Linked DNA regions of Oryzias latipes. The protein of the gene in region 1 interacts with the protein of each later gene in a pairwise test. Links are inferred from orthologs where the notes say so. Each region holds a gene or a part of one and is shown in the gene's direction. Other genes may lie near its edges.

Region 1 (4,028 bases):
AAAATCCAGGGCTCTACATAATAGTGCTGCACATAGGGGTTAGGGCGGGAATTTGGACGCAACCTTAGTATTTATAGAGGTGGGCGGAGTCACAGTAACGGCACTGCATGATTGGACCCTTGCCTTATGACCTCATAGGGAAAGAAAGCTCATTGTGAGAAGAACCCTCCACGTGCCGCGGTGGCGCCCGGCCCGGGCTGCCGACGGCTGGGTTAGAGTAAAATACAGGATGAACAACAACCCCCACCCCTTTCATCCAGGACACCTACAGATCATTTTGACCAAATCAACCAAACAAGACAGAAATCTTTGGTCATTAATGTCTAAAAAAGGTTTTAGGAGTTAAAAAAAGGAATATTCTGTGAGTCTCTGAAACAACTTGATCTATACTTTCCCTTTTTTTAACTCAAAGAGAAAATGTGAGTATGAACCCCAGTGAGCAGCTGAAAAGCCCAACAGAGACCGTTCCCTCAGACAAACATGACCCAAAGACAGCTGGTGACCTTTGACCTCACCACCGCGGAACGTGGACCAACACTGCAGATGCTCCTGGTTCGGCCGCCGTAAAGCGGCTAGAAGGAAGGCTCTCCGGCGGCTCGCCAACACCGCCCAAAACATGCTGGGTGCCCCCTCCCCGCCCTGGAAACCCCCCCACAGCTCCCGCTGCCTCAGCAGAGCAGAGAGCCTCATCAGAGACGCTACACGCCCCGGACCGCCGCCGTCTGACCTGCTGCCTTCAGGCAAACGCCGCTGGTGAAGAGAGACGGAAAGACCCAAAACCATTTCCCTCCAACCGCCATAAACCAGTTGGAGACGCCAGAAACCGTGAAACCTGGACGTCTGCTGGTCACTGAGGAGACTGTGGACGTCTGCTTCATATTTAGGATCATTGTCTTTACTTTCAACCATTTCAACACATATTGAAGCACTTTTTCCCCACAACTTTATATTATAAAGAATGAGTCACGACAACACAGCAGCTTCAATAAAACTCATTACATTTTCCTAATAAGAACGAGAAGGGAAAAGAACAAAAAGCTGGATTGTGTGACATTTTACTCAATATCTACATCCAAGCCCGTTTTATGTCGTTTCGTCCATTATTTGTTATTTTAGTAAGTTTTTTTTTTTTAAAGGTATGAATGTTGCACTGACACGAAGACACGTTAATGTTATTGTACACGTGACACAGATCTCTGTATCCCTGAAATGCTCTCATAATCAATCAGTCAATCAATGGCAGCTGTGCCTGTTGACGGTTCAAACTCGTCTCCTCCACTCCCGCCCGTTGGAGGAAGCGCAGCTCTCCAGCGCTCTGCGCATGCCCAGAGAAAGCCTGAGCCAATCACGTTTCAGAACACAGATCACGTGATTCTTCCGCCGCCATAGTTGTTAGTGGCAGCGAAGCCCTCGCTCTGTCCGCGTTCGGCTGCTGTCCGGGCCGCCGCCATGGTCCAGACGTGCTCGGCGTACGGCTGCAAGAACCGGTACCACAAAGACAAAGACATTTCCTTCCACAAGTAAGCCCCTCCCACAGAGGCGGACGCTCCGCCGCCGGAGCGCCGGTTTTCCGGGAAGAAAACCTCCCGGTAAACGCACCTAACGGAGACGTTCCCTCACTCGCGCTCCGATCCACGGTGCATGATGGGAAAATAAAAAAGAAAGTTTGGGTCATGAGTCCGTCCGTCCGGTACCGGCGGGTCCACATGCTGCTGGTGGTTCTCGGTCAACCGAGTGACTGCTGGAATCCCGACTACCGAGTACCCTTTGAGCAATGCTTCAACAGGTTTAGGAGGTCAAAGGTTAACCTTCACCACTCATCCGGGTCTGTCCGGTACAGACGTTTGGACTGAACGACTTAAGGACGGTAGTCCGCTCCGGTTTCGTTCGATACCTGCAGTGATCCTACGGTGTCAAACCGTTACACTGGATTCAACCGGTCAAACACGTTTATTCGAGTCCCACTAGAGGCAAAGAAAGGCTTTCAATGGGTTCATCTTTTCTACGGTGACCCTGAAGTGCAAATAGCTTAACGTGAAGCATTTAAAAACTCACAACGACCAATAAAAAGCGAAACAAATAATCAGAAACTAAAACTATTCCTAGAAATGTTGGGAAAATGAAGCCCAAGGAGAAACCAGAAAGGTGGATTTGTTGGAGGATCATGGGACGGATGTATCCACGACCTTCATGTCAGCTTCTGACTGACATGAAGGTCAAGCGTCTTCGTCCAATCAGCTCAGTCCTATGGACCTTTTCCGGGTTCTCATTGTTTCATTTTACATCATTTCATTTCGTTTTCTGTATATTTTTTTTAATATTTGTTTGTATGTTGTGATCTTAAAAAGGTTTTGCGTCACATGACTTATTGATGTGATTTGTACTTCAGGGCCACCGTACTTTCCTGTTGCAGTCAAAGCTGACGGCTGGATATCTCCGTTATGCTGCCATTTTTGTTGCTCTGCTAATGTTAGGTGGGGGGCAAAGGGATGATGGGAATCAGGGCGGGCTTAGTCCACATCAATAGCCCCGCCCACAACTCGGAGGTGAATTTGTGATCAGCTCCTGCCGCTCTGCAGACACTGTTCTAGAAAAGGAAAATGGTAAAAAAAACCATCGTTAAGACCTCTGGGAACACTTTGACAGCTCATTGGGTGATGGCAGTTTAAGACTGAAATGACTGACAGGAATGAGAAATGAATATGCAACCAGCTCAGCGGCCCTGTGGTCAGTGTCCACCCTGAGACTGGAAGGTCGTGGGTTCAAACCCAGGCAGAGTCATACCAAAGACTATAAAAATGGGGCCCAATGCCTCCCTGCTTGACACTCAGTATTAGGGGGTTGGATTGGGGGGTTAAACCACCAAATGGTCTGCAGCTCACCGCTCCGCCAGGGGGAGGGGTCAAATGTGGCGCAAAAAAGGTCACACAGATGGTGTGATTTAATTTAATGTTAATGGTCGTGGAGGGGGGAGAATAAGTCACTACCAGGACCTTGTTGGCTCTCTGTGGCAGAGTTTACGGTGACGGGAGCCTCTGCACCTTTAGATACGTTTAGAACTTTACTGGAGATTAAAACATTTGTTTACCAGACGGAAGCACAGAAACGTGTCCGGCGATGGGCTGAACGTGGTGTTTGTCGTCCCGGACTGCAAGGTTCCCGTTGGCGCGTCCGGACGTTTGCGGGAAGTGGGTGGCGGCCATGAGGAGGAACAACTTCAAACCAACAAAGTACAGCAACATCTGCTCCCAACACTTCACCAGCGACTGCTTCAAGAGGGAGTGCAACAACCGCGTGCTGAAGGAGAACGCCGTGCCGTCGCTCTTCAGCGCCAACCTCAGCTTCAAGGTAACGCGGCTCAGAGGGCCGATGAGGAGCGCCATGACCACGGGCAGCCATGCGTCTTTTCTGTCTGTGGGGTCTGTAGCATAAAGTATGTTTATGGATTTGTATGCATGGATTTCATACAGAAATCTGATTGGTCCAGTTTCTGACTCGGCTAGTGATGCTCCGCCCACAAACGTGTCCATGGCGTCTAGGCCGGTGGTTGTAGGTTTCACGGCCTGAAACCCGTTTGGGAAGCAGGTGAACAGTGTTGTGGTGCATTGTGGGTCAGCAAAACAGTGTTGTGGTGCATTGTGGGTCAGCAAAACAGTGTTGTGGTGCATTGTGGGTCAGCAAAACAGTGTTGTGGTGCATTGTGGGTCAGCATTGTGGGTCAGCAAAACAGTGTTGTGGTGCATTGTGGGTCAGCATTGTGGGTCAGCAAAACAGTGTTGTGGTGCATTGTGGGTCAGCAGACCAGCGACGGCTCAGCCTTACTGTAAAAGGTTTTAATCTGAAACAGACTGATCTGCTCTGATTTAGTTTTTTCTCACGTTTTCTGACTTCTACAGGTTTCTAACCTGAAGGTCGTCTCACAGCCGCGACCTACATTATTGCACATTTTCCTCGTATGATTCAGTCGTTCATACGTGTCTCTTTCGTCATCCGTGGAGGGTTTCAGCCGACGGGTTTTGAACTGCTAA
Region 2 (4,535 bases), on another chromosome or scaffold:
TTTCCATAACAAGCCATTCAGATCATGTATTTATTAACACACTTTCTGCAAAAGTTCAGCGTTTGTCTTTCTGATCTGTTTGATAAAGTTTTCAGCAGATAATAAGCTTTTATTTTGTTTAGAGTTAAGCATCTAAATTTATTTTTGGAAACATTGCAAAACTTGAATCATAAAACTTAACTAAGTCTTGAGATGCCTGCAGGTCTAAAATTGTTTTTTTCTTTTGTTTTCTCCTTGGATCAGTGATTCCAAACAGTTTATAAATATATACATTTTAGGGGGTTGTAGGCACATTGCAGATGGTATAAATAATCCTGTCCATATTAGGATTTTTGTCATATTTCTGTTGTCTTTTTTTTATTATTACTTTATAAGTTTTCAATGTTAGGCTTAACACTGAAAATGAACAAACAATGTAAGCAGCCTAATCATTCGAGACTGGATATTCAGCAAATAAACGGGCTTAAAGATGGAGGGCAAATTGGAAAAAACTGGATGTTCAGAGGAGACAAAATTAAAAGAATCAGTATACTACCAGATCACCTTTGGCTCCCATATTCTCCAAGAAATGTATTTTTGAAGCTTTAGCCAGAAGAAAAAGACCAACACAGAACACTGAACAGGTACTTTACATTTATTTTGCAATTCAAATAGTTCGTTTAACCCTTGTGCTATCTTAGATGACCCCACCCTTACTTTGACGTGTAATTCCTACCATGACAAAGGTGGATAAAGGTGGAAAGATTTCATGTAATCCATGGACAACAGTGAAGATCACAAATCATTGAAGAAAAAAGGTTCAGCGCACTGTCTAGTGGGTCTACATGACCCAACTCCCAATGGCAAAGTGCCTAGGATAGCACAAGGGATATTTGTATATTTTTCAGATAACTTGGTTTGATCCAAAAGAATTGTCAACACATGAGTGAATTGTGACAAATATCGCTCATGAGGTGCATAAGACAAAAAGATTGGAAATCTGCCTCATTCTGAGGTAGTAAAGCTTTTAGCATTATTTTTATTGTCATTTTGTCCATCATTGTTTAAGTTTCATTGTCCCTTGAAACCTACAATCTCAAGCTGCATTTAGTGTTTCTGAATATCTGTAGCAGCCTATATAATGTTACAATCGTTTTAATGATCTTACTCTCCTTAAATAAAAGAAGCTAAAAGTAAGATATGAAAATAGTAAGAGGGCAAAACATGGTGAAAAAAAACAACAAAAAGGATTTCCCATATAAAAACCTGGAAGCTTTAATTCACACCAATAAACGTATAAAATAAAAGAAAAACATATTGTGTTCTGACAAAAAAAACAAGAAGAAAGAAAACTACTTGGTAAATTTATTTTAAAAAAACGTGAAGACATTAGTTTCAGAAAGATTTAACAATTTTTTTGTAAAATAACAGCAACAAATCATTTTCTTGTCAGCTTGAGGCTTCCTGTCTGCACGCGCTGTCTGCTGTCGCAGCTGTACGTCACGGTGACGTAGAATCTGCTGATTGGCTGTAGTGCAGGGCGGAAGTGCGTGTACGCCCCACCAGAGGGCTGACAACAAAACAACACGAGCAGAGACAGGTGAGTATCACAATACCGTGAACTCCTTTTATTGCTCGCGGTTCGTTGTCGGAGCGGCTGCGTGAGCTGTATGCGTGAGACCGGTCGGCGGGCGAACAAACGGCTAGCTTTGCTGACATTGAGGGCGTAGAGCAGTGAGGTGTCCTTGTTGCTGATGTCATGTGTGTGAGCTGTTATGTAACAGACAGCAGCAGTGAGGGACCATCACCATGCAGATAGATACTACAACCTGCTGCTGTGCTGTTGTTTTTGCTGCAGTCATGCCGCACAGATTCCCAGCAGTTTTTCTTAGCTAATTAGAAAGACAACGCGATGGTTTCGCTTTTCCTGATGATAAACAAACGTTCTCAAGGACAACAGCAGTGATCATTGCTCATCCGTGCTAGTAGTAAACCTGTCATTACAAATATGTCTTATGTCTTTTCACGTTTACATTCTTCTTTTAAATTTTAACACAAGTAAACATACTAGAGAAAATAAGATAATCTATAATTTATAGCCATGTTGGTTTGCTTAGCTTAGCATTTTAGATTAGGACAAATACTTGTCGTTTATATTCATTTTCTGCTAAGAAAGCTGCTTTAAATGACAGCAGATGAGATCATCATACCATCAAAAGAATGGAGAAACATAATACAGACAGGAGCTGCTATGTTGGCTTAGCTCTCGGGCTGCATACGAGAAAAACTCACTATGTGCGATATTTGTGATCATTATGAATGATGACGATATCAGAATCATTTATTGACATTATAATAGCAAATTGCAATGGAATTTTGATCAGCTCTGGGAAATATAGGGATACAGAAGGCATCAATGTGCAAAGATACACGTGATGCATGAGCAGTTAGCAAAACAAAAAACATTTTTTTTTAATTTAACCTTTATTTAACCAGGTAAGCCATTAAGAACATGTTCTAATTTACAATAAAGACAACTAATACATTGTTTCCATTTCACTGTAATGGTTTTATTTAAATGAAAGTCAACATATCTTAAATTGAACTTCAAATGACCTCTCGTCTTCACATGAGGCAGGAATCTAACATTAAAGGGCTGCTTTTCATTGGTGAAATATTTAAAAAGCTCTGTTTGATTCACCTGCTATGAGATTGTATTCACATGTATATAAACACTAAAGGTAACCATTTATCCCATAAACTGGGATAACTGATGATGTAAATATATGTAGTCCAAGAAATGTCTTTTTTATCTCCTGTTGTAAATAATATTTGATTAAAACTTCTAGCTTTTCCCACAATAACATAATTTACATGTTTTTCTTAAATTCATTTGTCTCTCATGTTACCAAGAATATAATTATTAACGATATATACAATTAGCTAACCCTATATTATCGGTTCTTTGTGCTGACTGTTTTAATTGAAAAGTGTCAACACAAATGTGTTTAGAAATCCCATTTGCTGTCAAAATGAACGGATGTGTAAAAAGCATGGGAATAATAAATGTCATTTTTGTATAAGTACAAGCTACTTTACTTTTGAGGACCTTGTCTTTTATAGAGTGTTAGTTTGTCTTTTCATACAAAATGATTTTGCTCTAGGCTCTTCAGCATTTGCTTCCTTTTTGAAAATATTATGTTTTTTCATAAAAGACAACATAGACACCATATCTAATCCAGACAACAATGTTACAGTTTATGCTAATTTGGCGGTCACTGCAGATTTTAACCGTCTTTTGCTGTGTCAGTCATTTCCAGCACTATGATGGATGAGCTGGTGCAGGACCTGGTGTCAGCTCTGGAACAGGCCTCAGAGCCGAATAAGCTGGGGGAGCTGTGGGAGGAAATGGTCCTGAGTCCACTGCAGCATCGGCGACAGATCCGACGCCGCAGGGGACGCAAGAAATTTCACGAATCCTCCCTTTATCCATTGTTTGCCAGAAGATGCTGGATTGACGCCTCGGAATCCAGTTTAGATGAAGCTAAAGACTTCAGGGAGAACTCGTCCTTCACTTTTCCTGCATCGGTGGCCAACTGCAGTGACTCTGACGACATGTCTGCTACCAACCACTGGTCATCACTTGTGGGGGGCTCAGTTAGGACGAGGCAGCCCTCTTGGCCAGAGTCTGACTCCTTCACCGAGAATAATCCAGGACGGCCACTCAGGAGGCGGAGGAAGGTGAAGCGTATGACTTCCGGGGTGACCTACAGGCTGCAGCAGAAGCTAACAGTGTCAGAGGTGGATCGCAAACAGAGGCACAGACCGCCTAAGGTACACCGTCTCTCGGGATCCAAGCGAAGATCTGGTGGCTGGATGAAGAACGAGAGACAGAGTGAAGGAGGCAGACTGCTGGGGAAGAAGTGCTGGAAAAGGAAGATGACGAAGGAGCACAGAGACGCTGCTGATGAGAACATGTCTGAAGGGTAATCTAAAATCCTTCTGGTCCTTTATGAAACATTTCCATATTTATCACTTCAAATGAATTCACATTTGTGAAACACTTTTAGCAGAAATGAGCATGTTTAAATTCAATATAATCCTTTGAACAGTTTCTTTCTAAAATTAAAATGATATCTTTTTCTATTTTAGACAGTAGCAAAGAAACAATAGAACCCTTGGTATTATTTGTATTGAAAATCCTTATTATTAGTATTCAGAAGGCCTTCAAACTAGTTCAAAAGGGGAATATCCCGATGAAGTCCCTTCTGTAGTCTTGAGCTCATATTCAAAAGTTAATAATCATCTTTGTGTCCTCTATCCTTGCGTCTGAAAGGATCACCAGGGAGCCACCTTTGATAGTTTGGCCTCCGGGCATCTCATCGCTCATTATTTCCTTTTGAAAAATATGGTCACAAATAAATACGTGACTTGGAGTGGTATTGATTTGTTTGGAGTAAATTCCAATCTTTGTTGGGGTAATTAAAGCTGTGATCCCTGGTGGTGTCGAAGTGCGTAGTCTCGCATAGATTTAACCCAGAAAGCCAAAATTGAAT
Region 3 (4,466 bases), on another chromosome or scaffold:
TTCTTTTTTTAAATCCTGTGTGTGCATGCATGTCATAGGATTTTTGTGTGCTGTAAATAAAGTTTTTGCTACCTCAACTTGAATTTGTTTTATTTAACATACAGATGCATACAGACACATTAAATAAATTACAAATTCAACATAACATTAAAGCAAATTTTATCCTACAAAGCCAGCATCATTTTGCTAGCTAGTGGATGTATTTCTCGTGAGCTGTTGTATGAACAAAACATTTGATACAAGTTGTCATATTACATGAGTTCATTTATTTTGAGGTTCGTCTGGTTCTTCCGTTGAAACCAAACCAGGAAGCTGTTCATACAAATGCCTCTCCAGTTGTTTGTCAATGTCAGTCTCTCCTCTGAAGGCACACCACAACAAAAATGCAGCAACAAGGACGCTGATGGGGGCAACTTTCCACCATGGCCGCTCAAAATGACTCCCCATGGAGCGCTTGACCCTCCAGGTCTTGTGGCTGGCCTTGCTGGTGGAGAACTTTATGGGTTCATCAATCGGCTGCACATCCTCAGATCCTTGTGACTTGGATGATACTTTGGCGCTTACGGCAAGCAACCGTGCATTTCTCAAGGCACTGAAAGTAGAGAAAAATGAACACATTTGTTTAAATATGCAAGAGTATTGTTATTTGGGTGACTTCAGTACCATCTAAAGCACAAAATATCAACACTAAATATTGCTCAGGCATTTGTTGGTTAAGTCAGGTTGGTGTGAATACAAATACAGATGTACACAGCAAAAAGTCTCTTAAAATCACAGATTTACAAATCATGACAGATCTATTTTCTGCTGAGAAAGCTTTTTTTAAATAGGGTATTTAATTCTTATTCAAAAAGCCAGTAAAATCACAAATTCACAGATATACATATCTGAAAGGTACCACAAAGACGAGTCTCTAAAAGCCATCCTACATTATATACTTCAGACCCCTTTCTCACATGTATCTACAATTACAGTAACGTATTACGTTAGCACTAGATTTAAACGATTACCCTGTTAATAAACTACAGTAACAGTCAGGATCAGAGTCCACGCACAAATTTGTTAGTGACACTCACCACGTCCTTGTTAAAACGTTATTAGGAAATCCTGGATGGAGAGCTAATCGTGTCAAAGCACTGAATATTCTTGAAGTAGACATAGTTGACCACTGATCATCTTATAGAACACAGAAAATACAGGTCCTCTTCCACTGCCCGCTTAGGTCATGTAACACGCCGTTGTGCAACAACAAATGTCTTCCGGTGAAGGTTCCGTACCAGAACGTTCCCAGTACAGTAAGTACTGAGTAAATATAATTTCAACGTTTCAACCATTACATTTCTCAAAATAAAACTAACTCTCTGTTATTTGAAGCCTAAATTAATGCCACGAAGAACTAAATCCCATCCAAATATTTTATTAATATCAAAATACTGTGATTTTGTCCATCCAATCATCACTAATCAGTCATCGTTTCTGTCCAATCACGATTTACCAAAACTGTTTTACTTCCTGGTTTACAGCGCATGCTCCCATCGTTAGCACGTTGATGCTCCCCACTTTTCTACAACGACCTGCCTCAGTAAGGAAAAAAGTGTCATTGTTTGTTTATTTTTGCATTGTAGCAGCAGAATGAATAGTTAATAACAAGTATATCAATTGATAAATTAATCGATTTATTTAAAAACCACGTAATCGGTGTTTTATCAGGTTAAAACTTCCCTAAATGTTGGTTCAAATGTTGATTTGACATCAAGAATATTGAATAATATAAATAATGTCACAAACCGTTGGTTTAATTTTAATATCACCGTATTAGATTGTTTTCTTTCTGGGGGATATCTTTGAGTTTAATGTTTTATTTTTCTTCTTCTTGCAGGAGTTTCCATGGCGAAAAACAACAAGTCTGTGAAATTGGAACCCAAATCTCCTAAGAGGAAAAAGTCTAGTTTAAATGAAAGTCCAGTTTCTGTGGAAGACATTGTTGAGACAAAAGCAAAAAAGAAAAAGGTGAAGGCAGAAGCAAATATGCAAGCCCTTTTTAAAAAATATTCTATTAGCTATTACACCGTTTATTTACTTAGGATTCAGCAGTTTTACTTTGACTTTTTTTTGTTTGGTTGTTTTCTCAGGATTGTCAAGTAGAGTTCCCATCTGTAATTAAAGTAAAACATCAAAAAAACTTGGAAAAGACCAAAAAGCGCAAAAAAAAGGAAGGAGACAAAGAGCAGTCACAACCAAAGCAAACTGAGGTGAGAATATTCTGTTTTAATGGAGTTGACCGCATGTTTTGTCAACACTTTATCACCTGTCTTTGCTAATGTAACATAAACAGTATTTGGAGCAGATACACAATGTAGTCTTAGATTATTCATATAAAATATATACATGTATATACACCAGTTGGAATGTTAAAACAAGAAACATTTTGATTTTTACATTAGCAGAAATATTTGCATTTAGGATTTCTGTTGGACAAATTCATTTCAAAACAAAGCTTTTTGTGTGACACACAACGTCAGTAGGATGTACACCAGTTTGTGGAGAGACTCCAGAGTTTGAATTTGAGGACCGGCTCAGAGTGTCACATTCCTGAAGGCATGACTGTGCTGCCGGTGCACAAATGGGTTTTCTTAAAGCTGACTTCTGCAGTTTTGCCCACCCGCATCTTTTATGAAGGAAAAGCTCCAGCTTCTTTTGAAAAGTCTCACCAAGGAAGCCATAGATGAGCGGGTTTAGACAGCTGTTGGAGAACCCCGCCAGCCGGACAGCATGGGCGGTCAGTGGGAAGTCTTGCCAGAGCGTCCCGCCCTCTGCGTCTCCTCTCAGGAGGTGGACGCTTATGAAGATGTTCTCTGGAAGCCAGCAGATGAAGAACACCAGCACAGCCGCCGAGATCATTCTCAGGGCTTTCTGCCTGCGAGGTCTCTGCTGAAGGGTACGTTGTAATCTCTGGCTGCGTATGAGCGCTTGACCTATTCTCCAGTAGCACAAGCCCAGGACACAGAAAGGCAACAGGAATCCCATCATCACCTCCAACCACTGAATCTGTGTCACATTGGCGTAGCAGAAGTGCATTTCTCCTGCGTGCTGCACTTGAGCTACAGCAAACGGCAGCAGGGTGAGCAGAGATGAAGACACCCAGATGAGGCAGCAGCAGAGGCGTGTGTGTGACACACTGTGGCCGATGGATTTAGTCAACGCGACAAAGCGGTCAAAGCTCATCCAGGTCAGGAAGAAGACGCTGCTGTACATGTTAACCTGCTGGAAAAGGTTCATGAAGGTGCAGAGGCCAGCGTTGTTGTAATATTCCTTCCTGAGGTTACAGACCTCGATCAAAGAGTCTGCAACCAGAGTGAGGTCGGCCACAGCGAGGTTTACAAAGTAGAGATCCGGGCCTGTCAGGTGGCCGCTGGGGTCCAGATTGACTGCCAGGATGAGGATGTTCCCGATGAGGCCGATGGGGAACAGGGCTATGGTGTAGACGCTGGATAGGATGAGGCTGATGGTGTAAAGTTGTTGACTCTGTAATCCAAAGAAGGCCACATCAGAGTCATTAGGTAGCACAGTGAGGTTGCTCTCAGTGTGAAAGGAGTTCACATACATGGTTGTGTCTATATTACTCCTTTGTTCAGCTGGAAAACCATTAGACCACCTCCCCATCGCTCTTCTAGTAGTTTCCTAGGTGGATTTTGATGTCATTTATCTGCTCTTTGTAAACTGCAAGAAGCAGAGCAGAAATTCAACAATTTATAAGATTATTATTTTGAATTACATATTTTAAAAGTAAAGAAACTCAGAAATAGTAACTTTTTTTACACTTAATTTAATGAGGTTAGTATCAGATTCTATTTTGAATAAAATCCATAGAATGTGTAACGCAACATTTAAAAAAAAAGTTTTTGATTGAGATTTTTTAGGACTGCAAATATAATGAAAAGCCTTAAGCCTAAGAAAAAAAAGAAATCTACACAAAAAAACAAGTTAAGGTCAAATATTCTTTATATTATACGCGTTACTGTTGGTGAAATTGGTCAAACAAAAACTGGTTCAGACTTACGTTTGTGTCCTTGCCCTGCTCGCCGTCTTGATAGCCGTGTCCTGTTGTGGAGTACGCACTAAAGGATGTCTCAGATAAAGCGGAGGAGCGTCGCTGTGCCACCCACCACAACACACAATGCAGGTGTACACCTAACATTCAGTCCTGATAATTCCATCTATTCTCAGTTACGTTTCTGAGTTTTTTTTGTGCCATTTTGATCTGTTGCTAAGCATTTTAGTAATCCTCTCCGCTGGTTTTAAAGTTGAAGAAAGCTTGGATGGGACTGAGGTGTGCGCTCTCGTCATCCACTGATGTGTGCGGCGTGTGGCCCCATGATGTCAAAATATACGCCGTAAATATGGGAGGATGGCTTTTTAGCGTGAAAGTATATTTACACAAAACAACTGAAAACCAGTCAAGTATT
Region 4 (4,500 bases), on another chromosome or scaffold:
GTACCAGACTTTTTCCACACAAAACACTTTTAGTAAAACTTGGTTTTCAGAAACTCTGACCTGCTAAAAGCTATGATCCCCTTTCTTCAGATATTTTTACACACAAATAATTTGCAGAAGATAGAGCCATGCAAGTAAATTTCTCTAAAACTGATCATTTTAAAATTTTACTGAGCACAACGCTGACTGTTTTCTGGGTTTTGTTAAATGCATTTAAAGACTAGTGATGCTTTTGGATGCTCTGCAGAAATCCTGTGCAGGAAGCGCGTTGCTGCCCTCTGGTGGTGAATCTCAAATACCGACACACACAGGACAAAATAACTGATTTAAAAAACCAGCAGTGTCACTCAAGTCCTGCTCTTCTTTATTTATTATATGTAAGGTTTTCACAATATTGTTATTCACTGATAAAATGAGTTAAAGTGCTTTTTAAAGTGAGCGGCCCAGAGGAACGTCAAATCGGTGTTTTGTTTGCTTTAACACAAGCATCAGTTTTCCTGATGCTGGTTTTTAGGAGCGACTGCTGTCAGTCCAGCCATGTTGGACCCCGTTGTGTGGGGGAGGACGTTTTAACCGAGGAAGGACGTGTCACGTGTCCTGCAGCTCCCACCGATGCCGAGATGTTCCTGAATGCATGTCGGGAAACGAGGAACCTGAAAACCTCGTCTGGACAGGATGGCACACTTGTAAAAAATGTTGGTTTCAACCTGGCTGAAGTTGAGGTTCTGCTGGGTCCAGAACTTGTGGTTCCAGTCCTCCGTCTCCTGCCTCAGGTTTCTCAGCCTCTTTTCCAGCTCCGACTCCTCCTCAGGGATGCGGTAGATGATCGGCCGCAGGTTGGACAGCGGGTTCGGGGGGCCGATCCAGTCATGTGTAGAGCTGGGCTCCGGTCTCAAAGGTGTCCGCTGAAAAATGGAAATATGAACAATAATTAAACGTATTTACTAAGAACAGATGGACTGCAAACCGCAGTCCCATGCCCACATCCTAATGTTTGCAGCATTTGTCCAAAGATGGACTTTACAAGTGACCAAAAAAATGTAAAAAAAAAAAAGAAAATAAAACACCAGAAAAAGGTGTTCGTTTAACCCTGGAGAACCCAGCAACCATTTTTTTTTCAGGGCTTTTAAAGGTAATTAAGCAAATTTGATTTTGTTTCTTCATTTTGGAAAGCAGCAATTAACAGCAACCAAAAAAAACTTCAAATGAAAACCTAAAAATAAAGGAAAAACTAGAGAGAAAAAGAAATAAATAAAAACCATAGAGCTAAAGTTGATCCTGTGGATTCCCCCAGAGTTAAAAACACAGAGACAAGTCAAAAAGATAACTAACAATGAATTAATTTGTCCCACCAGATCGATCTGTCTGAGCCAAGAGGGTAATCAATTCCAATTGACCTCTACCATTAAAAAAATCGTTAAAATCGATTATATTGATCTTGGAAAATACCATTTAGATTGAGGTACAGTAGGTTTATTTGACTATAAGGTCAAACCGCCCAATCACAGCAACACACATGTGATGTCATTAACACGGATCAGTCCATCATTCCAGTCCAATGTGTGGACAGACTTTGAATAAAGTCATGCGACCATCCAGTGTCTAGAATGTTCTAAGAATGTTCCCTTTGGATTCTTTGGATGTGGAAAAACAACAGTGGAGAACTTTAGGAGAAGATCAACCAACAACTGTTTGCTTTTTTCAGGAAACTCTTTTTCAAAGAGGGCCAACTATTCAATGCATTAAAAGCAAATAAACTATGAACATTATTATGGCAATTGGACTCTTCCTATTTCTTCACATAAAAGAGAATTCTATCTAAATACATTTGTACATGAATTTCTGATTAGAAGGCCAGACTTAAAATCCAGAATAGGTCTGCAGCTTTGATGGCCCTTTGGAGCCAGCGCAGTCTGAGGGTTTTTGATGGGACGGCCCCCCAGGCATGATGCAGAGGGAACCAGAGGACTCCAGAAAACCCATTTTAACCGGGCCAAAGCATGTGAACGCATCTAAGAATAACCAACAGAATCCATCAGACTCTGGCGCTTCAGGTTCCTACGGTTTGGGGCTGAGGTGGGTCAGCAGGAGGCCCTGCAGGAGGGCAGCAGGAGGGATGCAGGAGGCCCTGCAGGAGGGATGCAGGAGGCCCTGCAGTCTAACTGGAGGCATCTGCTTATCAGTGCAGAGCAGACGGCAGCAGGAGAAGAGCACGGAGGAGAGCAGGCATGAGGAGAGCAGGGAGGAGGAAGACTCCATCCAGGACCCAGAGGCCTGAAAAAAGGTGCGTTATGACATCACTACCTTCAGCTGCAGAAGTCTTTGGACTTTCTTCATCATTACGGTTACATTTACTACAGTGAATCAGAAACATTAGCCCAAACAAACCCACTGACAGCTGTTACAGATGGGTTCTACTGGTGTCTTTTGATTCTCGCAGCCTTTCTGTGAGGATCTAGAGCCGTTAAATGAAACTTCAGAACCAGATGACGTGAAAATCTCTCATGGTTGCTGATGAAAAGCCTGTCCGTTAGGCCTAAGCAGCACTAAACATAGAAGGAGTTGGTTAAAGCCATGTTTAGTTCAGCCAGTCAGTAACCTGCAGGTCAATTAGACTTTTTGGCTGTGCAGACCTAGTGCGCATGCGTCGTTATCTTGGTTTTCACAGCAGGATCAGAACCTCAGCGTTTCTGATTCCTCCGGTAATGTGAGCACGGAGCCTGGGATAAAAACACCAACGCGGAACGGACTGCGGCGGCGCGCGCACCTTGGCGGCTTTATCCTGTTGGCTCGTTGGATTATTAGAGCCGTTGCGCCGGATGTTTACATCCAGCAGTTGCACGCGGGAGTTCCGCGCGCTCCTCCACGACAAGCGTCCAGCTGCCCCGAATGTCATTCCCGCAAAATCAAGGCACTGTCACGCAGAAAAGCTAAACACGCAACGGTGGCGAACAACCCATGTCTCCCAACTGTATGTCCTTCCGCGAGGATGTAGGACAGGTGGTCACGTGAGCTGCAAAAAACGGCTAGAGACGCTCGGAAACAGCACCTTCGCAAGCCGTTAGTCAAGTCTCTGCCCGACGGGTTCGGAGCAGATGAGGTTTCAAACTAAACTCTAAATAAAACATATTTCTAGAAAGATACTGTCAAAACTTTTCATCGCAAAAGCTTCAAGTACCAAAGCTACAAACTACGTTTTGAGTACGTTATTTAAAAACACTGCTATATTTATGTTTTATCAGAAGCGATAACGAAATAAAACATAAACAAAACGGGTCGAGTTTGTCTCCGCACAGAGTTGGTGATTAAATGGAGCGCACTCGCTGTTGGCCGACAACAACCTTCCCTGCGTCTGAACTGATAAAAGCTTCATTATTAAACGAGATAATGACCAACAAGATTAACCAAAGTGTTAGGAATGTGTACAGATATAGTTGTAGCTGTTGGTTACACTCAGAGATTGAAATATTGATTAAAATACGAAGTGGGAGGGTAGATTCAGCGAAACAATCGAACTCCGTGAAACTATAGTGGCGAGGCTGAGACGGGAAAGTAAGTCCGTGAAGGTGCAGCTAGGCGGGCTAATGTTGATCTTCAACAGAAGGTTTGGGGCTTTTCCTTCGCAGCGGGGTACATGGCTGTTCGCTGGTTATGCAGGTAAGACTGGGGCGGTTCAACGGCGGGTAGATGCCGGCGTAAAGCCGCAGTTTATGCGGTCAAGGTGGGGCAGAGTCAGTCAGGTGATCACCGACAGCTCACAACGGTGTTAACGGGCTGGAAAAAGACCCGGTGGTGGGATTTCATCTTTCGAAGTCAAATATCTGCGCGTGTAGGTCAAGTGTTTGGGGTTTTTTTTATTTTAAAAGAAGGGGGGGGGGGGGGGGGACAAAACCATGTTTGCAGACGTAGTGGCTTAGAGGTGGGAGGGGCGACAGCCGCCGGACTGCAGGCGGGCGGGCAGAGTCTGTCTGCTGGTCGCCGGAGCATCGCGACACCTCCGCGGGCTCCTGTCTGCGCACGCGGCTGCTCCCCAGCTTCGCCGGCCGCCTGCTTTCTGCTGATGGAAACAGACATCTCTCAGAATGTGCGCGAACGTGTTCGGAGTCCTGAAGAGGTGAGGCGGCGTCAGGGCGGGGCGGGGGGGCTGGTTCGGCTTCACGCTCGTCCGCCCGCAGAGCCAGCGGCCACGCAGGGTTTCCCGCGGGGGACTAGCGTTGGCGGGGCGGCTGTTGAACCGCGTCCGGTTCGGGTTCCGAACGGCCGCGTGCGCCTCAGAGGCCCTCTCTGGCTGCTGTAACCAAACGGAGGCGCGCGCTGATTGGCCGTCCGCGCGGGGACTGGACTCCGATTATCCTAATAAATGCTGAGATTTGGCAGCTTTCCCCTCTGGAAATGTCCAGCCCTCTTACATAAACCCGCTTTAGAGGAGGCCCAGCATAATCTGGTTTTGTTAATACGCGTTATTGTTGCCGCGGGAGGAAAAGGTTGCGGCCGCTTCGC
Region 5 (3,767 bases), on another chromosome or scaffold:
GTTATTCCCACTAGTCCTTTACCGATCCACACTCCACTGATGCCCAACCAGAGCATTGACATCTCTTTGCCCCTGAACACCATCGGACCGGTCATGAAGATGGATCCTTTGAATAATTTGCAGGTACAGGAGCCGTTTTACCACCCATGTTAACTGGAATAAGGTACATTGGAAAGCATTCTGCTATTTCTTTGTTGCTTGAGAGTACATTTTGATTGGAACAGCTTAATATTATTTTGTCATTTTAAAGAAAAATGCATCATGTAACATTTTGAATATCGGTATAATTACATCTCTTTGATCAAAATGCGTTTTTAGACATTTTTAACAAATTGGTTCTCGAGGTTTCAGAATTTGCAGCCTTTCATGTACTAAATGTGATTGTAAGGTTCTAAAAGAAATGTATATAGTAATATAATACAAACAGAATTAAATCAATCAAACCATATAAGGCAGTGTTTTTCAACCAGTGTGCCGCGGCACACTGGTTGAAAAACTAGTGTTTTTCAACCAGTGTGCCGCGGGAGATGGTCAAGTGTGCCGTGGGAAATTACCCTCATTAATCATTCACTGATCTAAAAACATTTTCCATCTCCAGGAAATCAGCTCTTTGTTCATCCAAACAGGCCCTGATAAAACACTTGAGTAGTGAGGAATATAAAAGATCTTAAAATTACTTTTTATTTGTGTTTATTTGATTCTATTAAAGACATTTTGATAAGAATGACGGTATTTACCTGCAGCTATAGCGGTTTGCGGGAAAGTCCCGCCCCTTTACCTGTCTCCGCCAATCATTGTTGAAGGCTTAATCACATGTCAGCAGTCTGACCAATCAGAAGTGGTTAAAGTCTTCACTTCCTTGTTCTTAATTCTGCTCATAAATTCTCTCAGTTCCAACAAAAATACCAGCTAAAGCTCGTCTTTAGCGGTGTAGCTTTCCACAGAGTCCGGTGTCAGACCGTGAACAAAACAATGAAGCTCACAGACGCGAGTCTTTCTGCCCTTTTTCGGCAGTTTTCACACTACATCTCCCATGATGCATTGGCTTAAAGGGCCAGTGTCCCAGCGCATAATGAGTGCGCGTGAAATGTCTAGAAACCTCAACGGACAAACAAACAGTTTCTAAATTTTCTAATTTAACTTTTATTTCATCTCTTAGAAAAAACAGCCGCAACTTCCTGCTTTTTTGGCCACAATTATCACAAAATGCACGTGAGATTGCGGGGGGGGGACTGTCGATCAATAGAGACCATGAATTTCTGCTTATTTATTATTTTTTTTGGATGCTGGTGTGCCGCGGGATTTTTGTCAAGGTTAAAGTGTGCCGTGGGTCAAAAAAGGTTGAAAAACACTGATATAAGGTCACAAAAAAGAAAACAACGCATTTAATTTTGCTTACTTTTATCAAACACAATGACAATATCAGGACTTTGAAAAATTCTGATCTAGTAATATTCAGTTTGATGCTGTTTCTTTTCTAAAACTGCTCATGTTAAATTTTTTTTAGTCTCTTTATAGATTTTTATGTAATGAGCCAAAATAATCCAGACTAAGGTTTTAATAACTGTAGGAGCCAACATGTACGTAGTTTCTTTGCACTTTTTTTTGTTTACTTTACAGATTTGTATATTTCACCTTTTTTAACTATTTATTAGTGAAAAGTTTAATAAGCACCGGCTCACCTGCACTCGGGATTGAGTTGAAGCTTGGGCTGTTTATTTTTGTTGACTGCTATTTTTTGCTATGTTTGTTGGTAACCTTGGCTTTGCAGTCACCTTTTCCTGCCCTTTGTTAACCAGGTTCATCAACTTACACAAAGTAAGCTTATTAATTGCTTCCACTGTTTTTGCAAAAAAAAAAAAAAAAAAAAACCTGTTAAAACTACATAATGGACCGTAAACAGAGGGAACCCATTTGCTCCTCAGGAGGCACCTCAAACTTTTCTAATGTTCAGATGTTTTGGAAAAGCGAAATTCATATTTTAGTTTTAGTTGAAGGAACGTTGTCGCCTTAAACTCTGTTTTTGTCTGAGCTACTTTCTCATTTGTCTTGTGTTGGTTTTTGCGCAGGTGGCTGTGAAGAATAGCATTGATGTGTTTTACTTCAGCGTTCTCATCCCTCTCAACATATTCTTTGTTGAGGATGGAAAAATGGGTACGAATGTTGTGCATTTCTAAAAATATTTTACATCAGAAAATCTGTGCTAAAGACCATTTCCAGGAATATTTTCACAAATCTATTCTCTTTAGGTTTATTGTTAAGGATTTTTAAAGTATTTTTTCAATGGAATGAATAGGTTTTTATTCTATTATATTCACACATATATTTGTTTCATTTAACAAAGCATCCAGTAGGTTTTATGTGACTCTCTTTAACCGTCTTCAGAGCGACAGGTGTTCTTGGCAACATGGAAAGACATCCCCAATGAAAATGAGCTGCAGTATCAGATAAAGGACTGTCACTTAAATGCAGGTAGGTGACACTATAAAACACATTTTTAGATTTTTGTTTTTCTTCTAACATTAGATAACTTTGCAGATCTGCTTTATTTTATTGTAAATATTTACCGCAGAGATCAAGCGGGCAACAGTTTCTTTCCTTGATCCAAAATATTTTCACATATTCTTCCTCATTGTCAAATATTTCACATGCGATGCATCTCCATCTCACACTTTTCTTTGTTTTCTTTTTCACCTGCATGCCTGTCTTTGGATTTCGGTTCTTTTTATCTATCCAGCCTTTTTCTTCTTAGAAGCCCCCCATTAATGTGTCTCTGTTATCCTGGATGGCAGTCATCCATAGTGGTTTGTTACTTGAGTAGTCAGATAACCTAAAACTCTTAAGGTGACCAGTCATATTTCACCTAAACTCTTTTAGAATAAACTCACTCTTTGTAGAAAACGTGCATTGCGTAGTGCATATGCTTGTGTTAGTACCTAAAGTGATTCATACTTTTTGTAATGGGATGGTTTCGTGATGTAAAGTGAACATTTTTTTTGTTTCAGACGCCGTATCAGGAAAGCTGCAGAATAACAACATCTACACTATTGCCAAAAGAAACGTTGAAGGTCAGGACATGCTTTACCAGTCCCTCAAGCTAACCAACGGCATCTGGATCTTAGCCGAGCTCCGGATTCAGCCGGGAAACCCCAATTACACGGTACAGTGTTGGGTAGTTTATGGGGAGTCTTGCTCAAATGTCATGCTTCCTTTTGTATTTGAATATTTATTTGAACATGTATTTATTCTGACGGAGACATTGTATATTAATGAACATCAAAAACAAACGTAAATGCAGTGTTTCCTTGTTTATTGCGGGTTATACATTCCATAATTAACCCACAATGGGTGTAATCCCCCCAAGTGGGATTACAGATGTTTTAAAACTCCTCACTAAACACTTTTTTCCAACAGACATGAACATTGTCATACTCTTCTCCCTTGTTTAAACTCTCAAAGTTCAAACCCTTTTAGAAAAATGAGACCAGTATTACTGAATAAGAACGAAGATCTTCTCAAACTTTTATGTACATTTGGCAACTTGCACACATTCTGTACAGGAGACATGGCACTGAGGAGATTGATTGACAACCGCCAATCAGAACGCAGAACACAGTGCACTGTAAAAAAAAAAGAAAGCATGCAAAGTTGCCTGAAAGACATTGCGAGACCACAAAACATGAACCACAATATAGTGAAAGACCAGAGTTTAGACACAGGCTAATTTCTTTCTGCAGTCCTCTGGAAGACTGATGCTGTTGAAGAGA
Region 6 (2,503 bases), on another chromosome or scaffold:
AGAGCCAAGGTATGAAACTCGCACAGGTTTTCCCCCTCCGGAGTTTCACAGCCCTTGTTTTGACAGCACAGATGGTTTTCTTTATGTCTCGTCCTTCCCTTCAGACACTCAAACAGCATCAGGAGGAAAAAGAAAAGGCGGAACGAGAGAAGCAAGAGCGACAGGAGCAGGCCAGACAAAAGGAGGAATTGGCTCGCCTTCAGCAGCTGGAAGCCTGTCGGCGCAGACAGGAGGAGGAGCTGCGGAGGGTGGAGGTGGAGAAGCAGCGAGCGCTGGAACTCCAACGTAGAGAAAAGGAGCTGAGAGACAAACTTCTGTCCAACCTCATTAAGAAAAGCAGCGAGGAAACCGCCGGAGTCGTACGGGAACCGGCTGGCTTACAAGGCAGCGAAGAGGCCTCGGATCCTCACTGTGGGATGCTGGAGGTCCTGGGTCGAGTGAACGGGTTGGAGCCAGGAAACGGCAAAGAGAAGCAAGTATCTGAGGCTAGTGTTAGATCAAAAACTTTGTCCAAGAAGAGCTCAAATGACAAACACGAAGAAATGGTTAAAAACAGACATGGAAAGGAACAAACTAGAGGCCACTCACGCAGAGAAAGAAGCTCGCACAGTCGAGGGAGACAGAGGCGCTCTCAGAGTCACAGCCGACGGAGAAGGAGCTCGAGGAGCTCCAGCCGCCACAGGAGGAGCAGCAGCAGGAGACGCTGCAGCACCAGCTCCAGCAGAGAGCGGAGCTGGAGCAGCAGGGGAAGGAGCTGCAGCAGGGGAAGGAGCCACGGGCGGAGTCGCCACACATACAGCAGACAGCGATCCAGAAGCAGCAGTCAGCACAGAGATCACAGGAGACACCAGAGACGCAGCGGCAGCACCAAGAGGAGCCACTCCAGGAGACGCTGAGCCGCTTTTCAAACAGAAAAGTTTAGTGTCTTAGGTCAGAATGCAAAGAAATTCAACCAAACTTCACAAAAGGATCTCAAGCCTACATTTATGAATGTCAGGGGTGTAGATAAAAATAATAAAAAAATATGTCCGTTTTACAAAGTTACTCAGTTGTTCTGTTGCTCAGCTGAAGCTTCTAACGTAAGGAATCTTCTGGCATCTATGTTATGTAAAAATGTGAATGAACACATTTCAGGACGGCAGCAAAGCAAACAGAAAAAAAGAAAAGCTTTGGTGAATATTTTTTAACAAAAACTCCACTCTAGACTTGTTAGGAAACAGTTTTGTCTGTATTAAACCAAAAAGGAGGTGAGAATTTCTTGACCTTTTTTATCAACTGTTTTAGTTGAGCTGCTACAGCTGTAGTGGCGTTTTTAAGACCCAGCATGTCATTTTACTGCTTTAGGCTTCAAAGTATAGGTGATGAAGGTGTCAAAGGGAACTACTCCGACATCTTTTTGGTTTTTGTTTTGTGACTTTTGCAGATGTTTGAAGAAACTGCTTTCATTCTATAAGCCTCAGTCTTTTTTCTTTCTTTCTAGAACCTGCTATTTCCTTTTGTTGTACACAATAAAAGATGAAGCTGTAACTTATAGACTGAAGAATCGGCTTCAGAACAAGCCTTTTATTTTGAAGAGACTTGAAGACACGTGTGCCCTTTTTTTCTGTCCATATGTGAAAAGAGGAACAAAAGTGATTAAAATGAAAATCTACTGTTGAACACAGAGTCGAGTCTGAATGTTGTTCTGTTTTCAGGTTTTTAGAGTGATGCGGCTCAACAGACTGTAAAAGTTTTCTCACTACAAAGACCCATCTGTTCTGCAGGATTACAATTCTCCCGTGAAGCATGACTTACAAACACTGCAAGCTGGTTATGAAAAATAAACGTTTTCAAAGTTGACAAGTCTTTATGGGTGTCTTGCTTTTTTTAGTGTTTTTTTTTTTATAACCTCAAAACGGGTCATTTGTAGTTTGTTACCACTAAACTTCATTTTGTGCATATGTGTCATGACATTCATGTGAGATCAAATGTATTTATGTAAAACATGGGGACATTTTTTTTCTGCATAAGTAATCACAGACCCAAGTAAATCGTACATGGTGAACTTTTTCTTTTGTTGGGGAAAACAAACGGCGAACAAGAGGAGGCACTAATTGGGAAAGCTTGGTGAAAAGCAGTGGGTTCAGGGATAATAAACAAGGCCGCAGTGTTTTTATAGAGTTGTTTCTTTGTCAGACTGAGTCCATGCTCTAATCTGGGTTATCTGGTTGTAATCAGCTTAGCCCACTGCAACTCTCACTGTTATTGCTGCTGGGTGGGCTTTGATTTAGGCTCAGTCTGGTTTTCTCAGCACTGCCAGTCACACTGAGGGCTGCTGCACTGACTTCTCTTCAGCAACAATTTGGAGAAACAAAACCTACTGTTTTTTTGTTTTTAATTTTAGTGGATTTTTGGCCCATCTATGGCATCACATTCCACTCAAGGGGCTCCTGCTGCAGACCTGTACCCCAAAAAAATCCTGGAGTACATGGAAGGCTTTTTGATCTCAAAGGTAAAGTTTCTG
Region 7 (3,767 bases), on another chromosome or scaffold:
AACGCGACACGACACAGGTGCGTGTTTGAAGAGCCAGCGCAGGCTGGGCGGCGTGATGGGGGAGTGTTGTAAAGGCAGTGCGATGTGGCAGGGGCGGCCAACCCTGGTCCTCAAGAGCCTCAACCCTGCCTGTTTTCGAGCTCTCCCTCACCAGCTTGCTGTTGATTAGCTGACTCAAGTGATTTCCCATCCTGATTGACTAAACACTCCTTGACTCCCAGGAAAACTGAAGCTTTGGTGCTACGAGTTTGGGCTACTACCCAGACTTATGTGGCCCTTAACTATGTATGAGGTCTCAATTAGCCATGTCCACCGTCTGGAAAGGCTTGTGAACTCTTACCTGAGGAAGTGACTTGGAGTTCCCAACTGCCTCAGCAGTGTTGGACTCTACAATGATGGAGTCCTGTCACTACCAGTCTCTAGCCTAGTGGAATAATTTAAATGCGCCAAGGTGAGGCTTGACATGTCACTCACCGATTCCCGAGACCCGATGGTGAGAAGTGCAGCTCCAGTCCTAGCAACAGGGAAGAAGTGGACCCCTGCTGTAGCAGTGCTACAGGCAAAGTCTGCTCTGCGCCATCGCGACATAGTGGGCAACGTCCAACAAGGTAGAGGAGGCTTTGGGTTGGGGGTGGTAAAACCTCTCTGGCAAAAGGCATCTGCAGCAGAACGTCGAACAATGGTGGTAGAGGAGGTACACCAACTGGAAGAAGCGGGTAAACGCTGCACAGCTGTCGCTCAAGCAAAACAGGGCCGATGGGTAAGGTGGGAGGGAGTAGAAAGGAGGAAACTGACATGGAGCGAACTTTGGAGCATGGAATCCAATAGGCTAAGCTTCCTTGTACGAGCCACCTACGATGTGCTGCCCTTCCCCACAAACCTGCAGCTTTGGCTTGGGAAAGATCCATCCTGCCCCCTTTGCTCTGCAACTGCAATGCTAAAGCACATCCTAGTGGGCTGTGGGACCAGCCTCACCCAAGGCAGACATACATGGAGACACAACCAGGTCCTGAGATGTCTTCCCAATACACTTGAGTGCAGGAGGGTATTTATCAACGCCCAACCCAGCAGCAGCCTGGATGTGCGCCGACACCCACCACCATTTGTCCGGGAAGGGGAGAAGCCAAAGAGTAATCCCTCCCTCCCTGAGCTGACCCCTCTGAATGCAGCCAGGGACTGGCAAATGCGAGTCGACCTTAACCAGAGGCTTATCTTAGCCTCTGGTTAAGATTGCAGCAACCACTCTGCGTCCAGACCTTGTCCTCTGGTCTAATTCGTGCCGACTTGCCTACATCATAGAGCTGACAGTCCCCTGGGAGGACTCCCTTGACGAAGCTTATGAGCGTAAGAAACTTCGCTATTCCAACTTAGTAGCTGAGGCAGAGGATAGAGGCTGGAACATCAGCGCCCAGTGGAGGTGGGATGCAGGGGCTTTGTCGCCAGCATGACTACTAATCTCCTAAGGGAAGTTGGAGTCAGAGGACGGGCACACAGATAGCCTTTAAAAGAACTGATCATCACCGCTGAGAGGGCGAGCCATTGGCTGTGGCTGAGGAGAAGTGACATCACATGGACAAAAATGACCAACTAGCAGTGAGACACACACCCAGGCTTGATCAACCTGTGGTGGGCCTACCTCAGCGGAGGGTGTATTGTGATAAATGGCCGAAACACCTTAAGATGTTGGGGTGCACAACTGATGATGTGTCTCGCTGGCAATAAATGGAAGTCCAAGAACCTCAAGAGCTCCTGAAATTTAAAGTGGTAGTAACCTTAGGGATTGTAACACCTAGTCCTTTCTACAGCATTTATGCTTAAAACTGCATTTCAGAGTATTCCTTTATTCTAATTGAAGGGAAACAGGAGATGCAGTAACTGAAATGGGCGGGGCCAGAGTCTCCCTGCTCTGCTTTATTCTGATGCCTCCACTCTCAGAAAAGTAGATCCATGAACATTTTTGTTTTCCTCGTCTGAGCTGGAATCTGGATCTAAACTGTGCGGCTGGATAGCTCTGATATTTACGCCATGATGTTAGGTCGGGGTTGTGAGGGGCTGTAAGCTAGCAGGAGAGAGTGTGAACATGTGAATGATGGGAAATCAGGAAAGGTTTACCGGTACTTCTGAGCTGACAGTCCGATTCACAACTCTGAGGTGAATTTCTGATGAACTACTGCCGCTCTGCAGAAACTATGTCCTAGAAAACAACAGTTTTTTTAGACTTTGGCTTAAAATGACATCATCGTCATGAAAAACCACTGGGACCACTTTAAAATAGATCAGAAGATAATTGGAACGGGACTTTAAACAATCTGGGAAAATAAAAAAATTTAGTTGTCTCATTTCACTTGTTAAAAACTTGAAATTGTTTCAAAGAGAGGCCTCTGTAAGAATAAATAAAGATTAAAGCCGTATACTGGCTTTTCAAAATAAAACGGAATAAAACCTTATTTTTTTTACCCTCTTCTCATAAGGCTTCACCTACAGAGATACTGGTGGATAAAACATTCAGAGAAACTGATAAAAACCATCTAATCTATTGTATTTTGTATCATAGAATTTCTTTAATGAATGAACGCATGAACATTTATTTTCAAAGTTACTAAAAGAAAGAAGAGTCAGATTCAGTTGAGCAGCTCTGTCAAGCTTTTGCCATCAAAAGTTAAAGTTTCCATCCACCCATTTTCTTAAACCCACTTCATTCTGTTGGGAGTTGCTGGAGCCCATCTCACCACTGTTGGTTCACCATGGACAGTTCTGTAGTCCATCACAGAGAGACACAATCACGCACACACATTTCACACCTGGGGACAATTTGGAGTCAACAGTGAGGCCACAAAGCCTGTTATTGGTCTGTGGGAAGAAGCTAGACTGGTGTGTGTGTGTGTGGGTGTGTGTGTGCGCACGCGCGTGCGTATGTGTGTTTTTCCGGACGTGAATGAAAAGAACGGGAAAACTTCACACAGAAAGGTCCCAGTTGGGATTCAAACTCTCACTGTGAGGCGACAGTGCTAACCACTGCACCCCCCATGCAGCCCTGTTCTGGTTTTCATGAATCTGAATCTTTTTCTAAAGGTCTCGTGTCCAAATCTGCTTAAACGTTTCATTCTGATGAGTATACATGTCCTTCCCATCTTCACTGCAGATGTCCCGGTGTCCGTTCTCCTGGTGGGGCTCGGTGGGGGCGGCCTGCCTCAGTTTCTGAGGGATTTTCTTCCTGGAGTGTCAGTTGAAGTTGTAGAACTGGACCCTGTCATGCTGGAAGTGGCAACGCAATGGTTTGGGTTCAGACCAGACAGTCGTTTGACTGTGACTGTTGGGGACGGCCTGGAACACATCTGTGCTCTGGAGAAAGAAGGTCAGTCAGGAGGACAGAACAGAACCATCGACTGTATTATAGAACTGGACTGGGAACATTTTCTATGGGTGATGTCACACGCGCTCAGTCCAGTTATTTGATACAGTCAGGAAAACAAAACAGAACCATCAACGGTATCAAATAACTGGACTCATTGCCTTTTGTATGGGTGATGTCACACGCGCTCAGTCCAGATCTTTGGTACAGTCAGGAGAACAAAACAGAACCGATGACTGTATCAGAGAACTGGACTGGGAACATTTTCTATGGGTGACGTCACACAAGCTCAGTCCAGTTCTTCTGTACAGTCAGTGGGGTTGTTTACCCTGTAAAGATGTGGCTGAGCTATTTGTTTCTATGCAGGTGGTCGTTTGTTCGACGCCATCATGTTGGATGTGGACAACAAGGACTG

What was found.
Region 2: the proteins of thap1 (region 1) and gpatch2l interact in binary tests that used the Homo sapiens proteins (3 or more experiments, as listed by UniProt). The two-hybrid records come from large-scale screens. The link is inferred for Oryzias latipes from reciprocal best matches to the Homo sapiens genes THAP1 and GPATCH2L.
Region 3: the proteins of thap1 (region 1) and c19h7orf50 interact in binary tests that used the Homo sapiens proteins (3 or more experiments, as listed by UniProt). The two-hybrid records come from large-scale screens. The link is inferred for Oryzias latipes from reciprocal best matches to the Homo sapiens genes THAP1 and CHLSN.
Region 4: the proteins of thap1 (region 1) and bag5 interact in binary tests that used the Homo sapiens proteins (3 or more experiments, as listed by UniProt). The two-hybrid records come from large-scale screens. The link is inferred for Oryzias latipes from reciprocal best matches to the Homo sapiens genes THAP1 and BAG5.
Region 5: the proteins of thap1 (region 1) and AP-1 complex subunit beta-1 interact in binary tests that used the Homo sapiens proteins (3 or more experiments, as listed by UniProt). The two-hybrid records come from large-scale screens. The link is inferred for Oryzias latipes from reciprocal best matches to the Homo sapiens genes THAP1 and AP2B1.
Region 6: the proteins of thap1 (region 1) and akap17a interact in binary tests that used the Homo sapiens proteins (3 or more experiments, as listed by UniProt). The two-hybrid records come from large-scale screens. The link is inferred for Oryzias latipes from reciprocal best matches to the Homo sapiens genes THAP1 and AKAP17A.
Region 7: the proteins of thap1 (region 1) and mettl13 interact in binary tests that used the Homo sapiens proteins (3 or more experiments, as listed by UniProt). The two-hybrid records come from large-scale screens. The link is inferred for Oryzias latipes from reciprocal best matches to the Homo sapiens genes THAP1 and METTL13.

The regions. Positions count from the first base shown.
Region 1 is NC_019870.2:29,950,423-29,954,450, forward strand, and holds the start of thap1 (THAP domain-containing protein 1), read left to right. Parts: upstream 1-1,228; 5' UTR 1,229-1,449; coding exon 1,450-1,520; exon of another isoform or gene 1,521-1,589; intron 1,590-3,155; coding exon 3,156-3,348; intron 3,349-4,028. UniProt on the Homo sapiens protein: DNA-binding transcription regulator that regulates endothelial cell proliferation and G1/S cell-cycle progression.
Region 2 is NC_019880.2:13,366,761-13,371,295, forward strand, and holds the start of gpatch2l (G patch domain-containing protein 2-like), read left to right. Parts: upstream 1-1,472; 5' UTR 1,473-1,579; intron 1,580-3,289; 5' UTR 3,290-3,303; coding exon 3,304-3,965; intron 3,966-4,535.
Region 3 is NC_019877.2:9,264,933-9,269,398, forward strand, and holds the start of c19h7orf50 (uncharacterized protein C7orf50 homolog), read left to right. Parts: upstream 1-1,484; 5' UTR 1,485-1,582; intron 1,583-1,879; 5' UTR 1,880-1,887; coding exon 1,888-2,010; intron 2,011-2,132; coding exon 2,133-2,252; exon of another isoform or gene 2,253-2,481; coding exon of another isoform or gene 2,482-3,663; exon of another isoform or gene 3,664-4,466. Other genes in the region: G-protein coupled estrogen receptor 1-like, read right to left, coding at 2,482-3,663. UniProt on the Homo sapiens protein: Hormone secreted from the intestine in response to cholesterol, where it acts to inhibit cholesterol synthesis in the liver and VLDL secretion,leading to a reduction in circulating cholesterol levels. Acts through binding to its receptor, GPR146.
Region 4 is NC_019880.2:21,267,578-21,272,077, forward strand, and holds the start of bag5 (BAG family molecular chaperone regulator 5), read left to right. Parts: upstream 1-1,589; 5' UTR 1,590-2,228; coding exon 2,229-2,284; intron 2,285-2,767; coding exon of another isoform or gene 2,768-2,896; exon of another isoform or gene 2,897-3,015; intron 3,016-3,150; exon of another isoform or gene 3,151-3,634; coding exon of another isoform or gene 3,635-3,657; intron 3,658-3,915; exon of another isoform or gene 3,916-4,082; coding exon of another isoform or gene 4,083-4,114; intron 4,115-4,500. Other genes in the region: apopt1 (apoptogenic protein 1, mitochondrial), read right to left, coding at 708-905, 2,768-2,896. UniProt on the Homo sapiens protein: Co-chaperone for HSP/HSP70 proteins. It functions as a nucleotide-exchange factor promoting the release of ADP from HSP70, thereby activating HSP70-mediated protein refolding.
Region 5 is NC_019872.2:25,038,642-25,042,408, forward strand, and holds part of AP-1 complex subunit beta-1, read left to right. Parts: coding exon 1-123; intron 124-2,069; coding exon 2,070-2,154; intron 2,155-2,385; coding exon 2,386-2,472; intron 2,473-3,005; coding exon 3,006-3,160; intron 3,161-3,767. UniProt on the Homo sapiens protein: Component of the adaptor protein complex 2 (AP-2). Adaptor protein complexes function in protein transport via transport vesicles in different membrane traffic pathways.
Region 6 is NC_019879.2:18,192,590-18,195,092, forward strand, and holds the end of akap17a (A-kinase anchor protein 17A), read left to right. Parts: coding exon 1-9; intron 10-104; coding exon 105-896; 3' UTR 897-1,839; downstream 1,840-2,503. Other genes in the region: asmt (acetylserotonin O-methyltransferase), read left to right, coding at 2,402-2,491. UniProt on the Homo sapiens protein: Splice factor regulating alternative splice site selection for certain mRNA precursors. Mediates regulation of pre-mRNA splicing in a PKA-dependent manner.
Region 7 is NC_019862.2:3,849,630-3,853,396, reverse strand, and holds part of mettl13 (methyltransferase-like protein 13), read left to right. Parts: coding exon 1-17; intron 18-3,142; coding exon 3,143-3,355; intron 3,356-3,718; coding exon 3,719-3,767. UniProt on the Homo sapiens protein: Dual methyltransferase that catalyzes methylation of elongation factor 1-alpha (EEF1A1 and EEF1A2) at two different positions, and is therefore involved in the regulation of mRNA translation.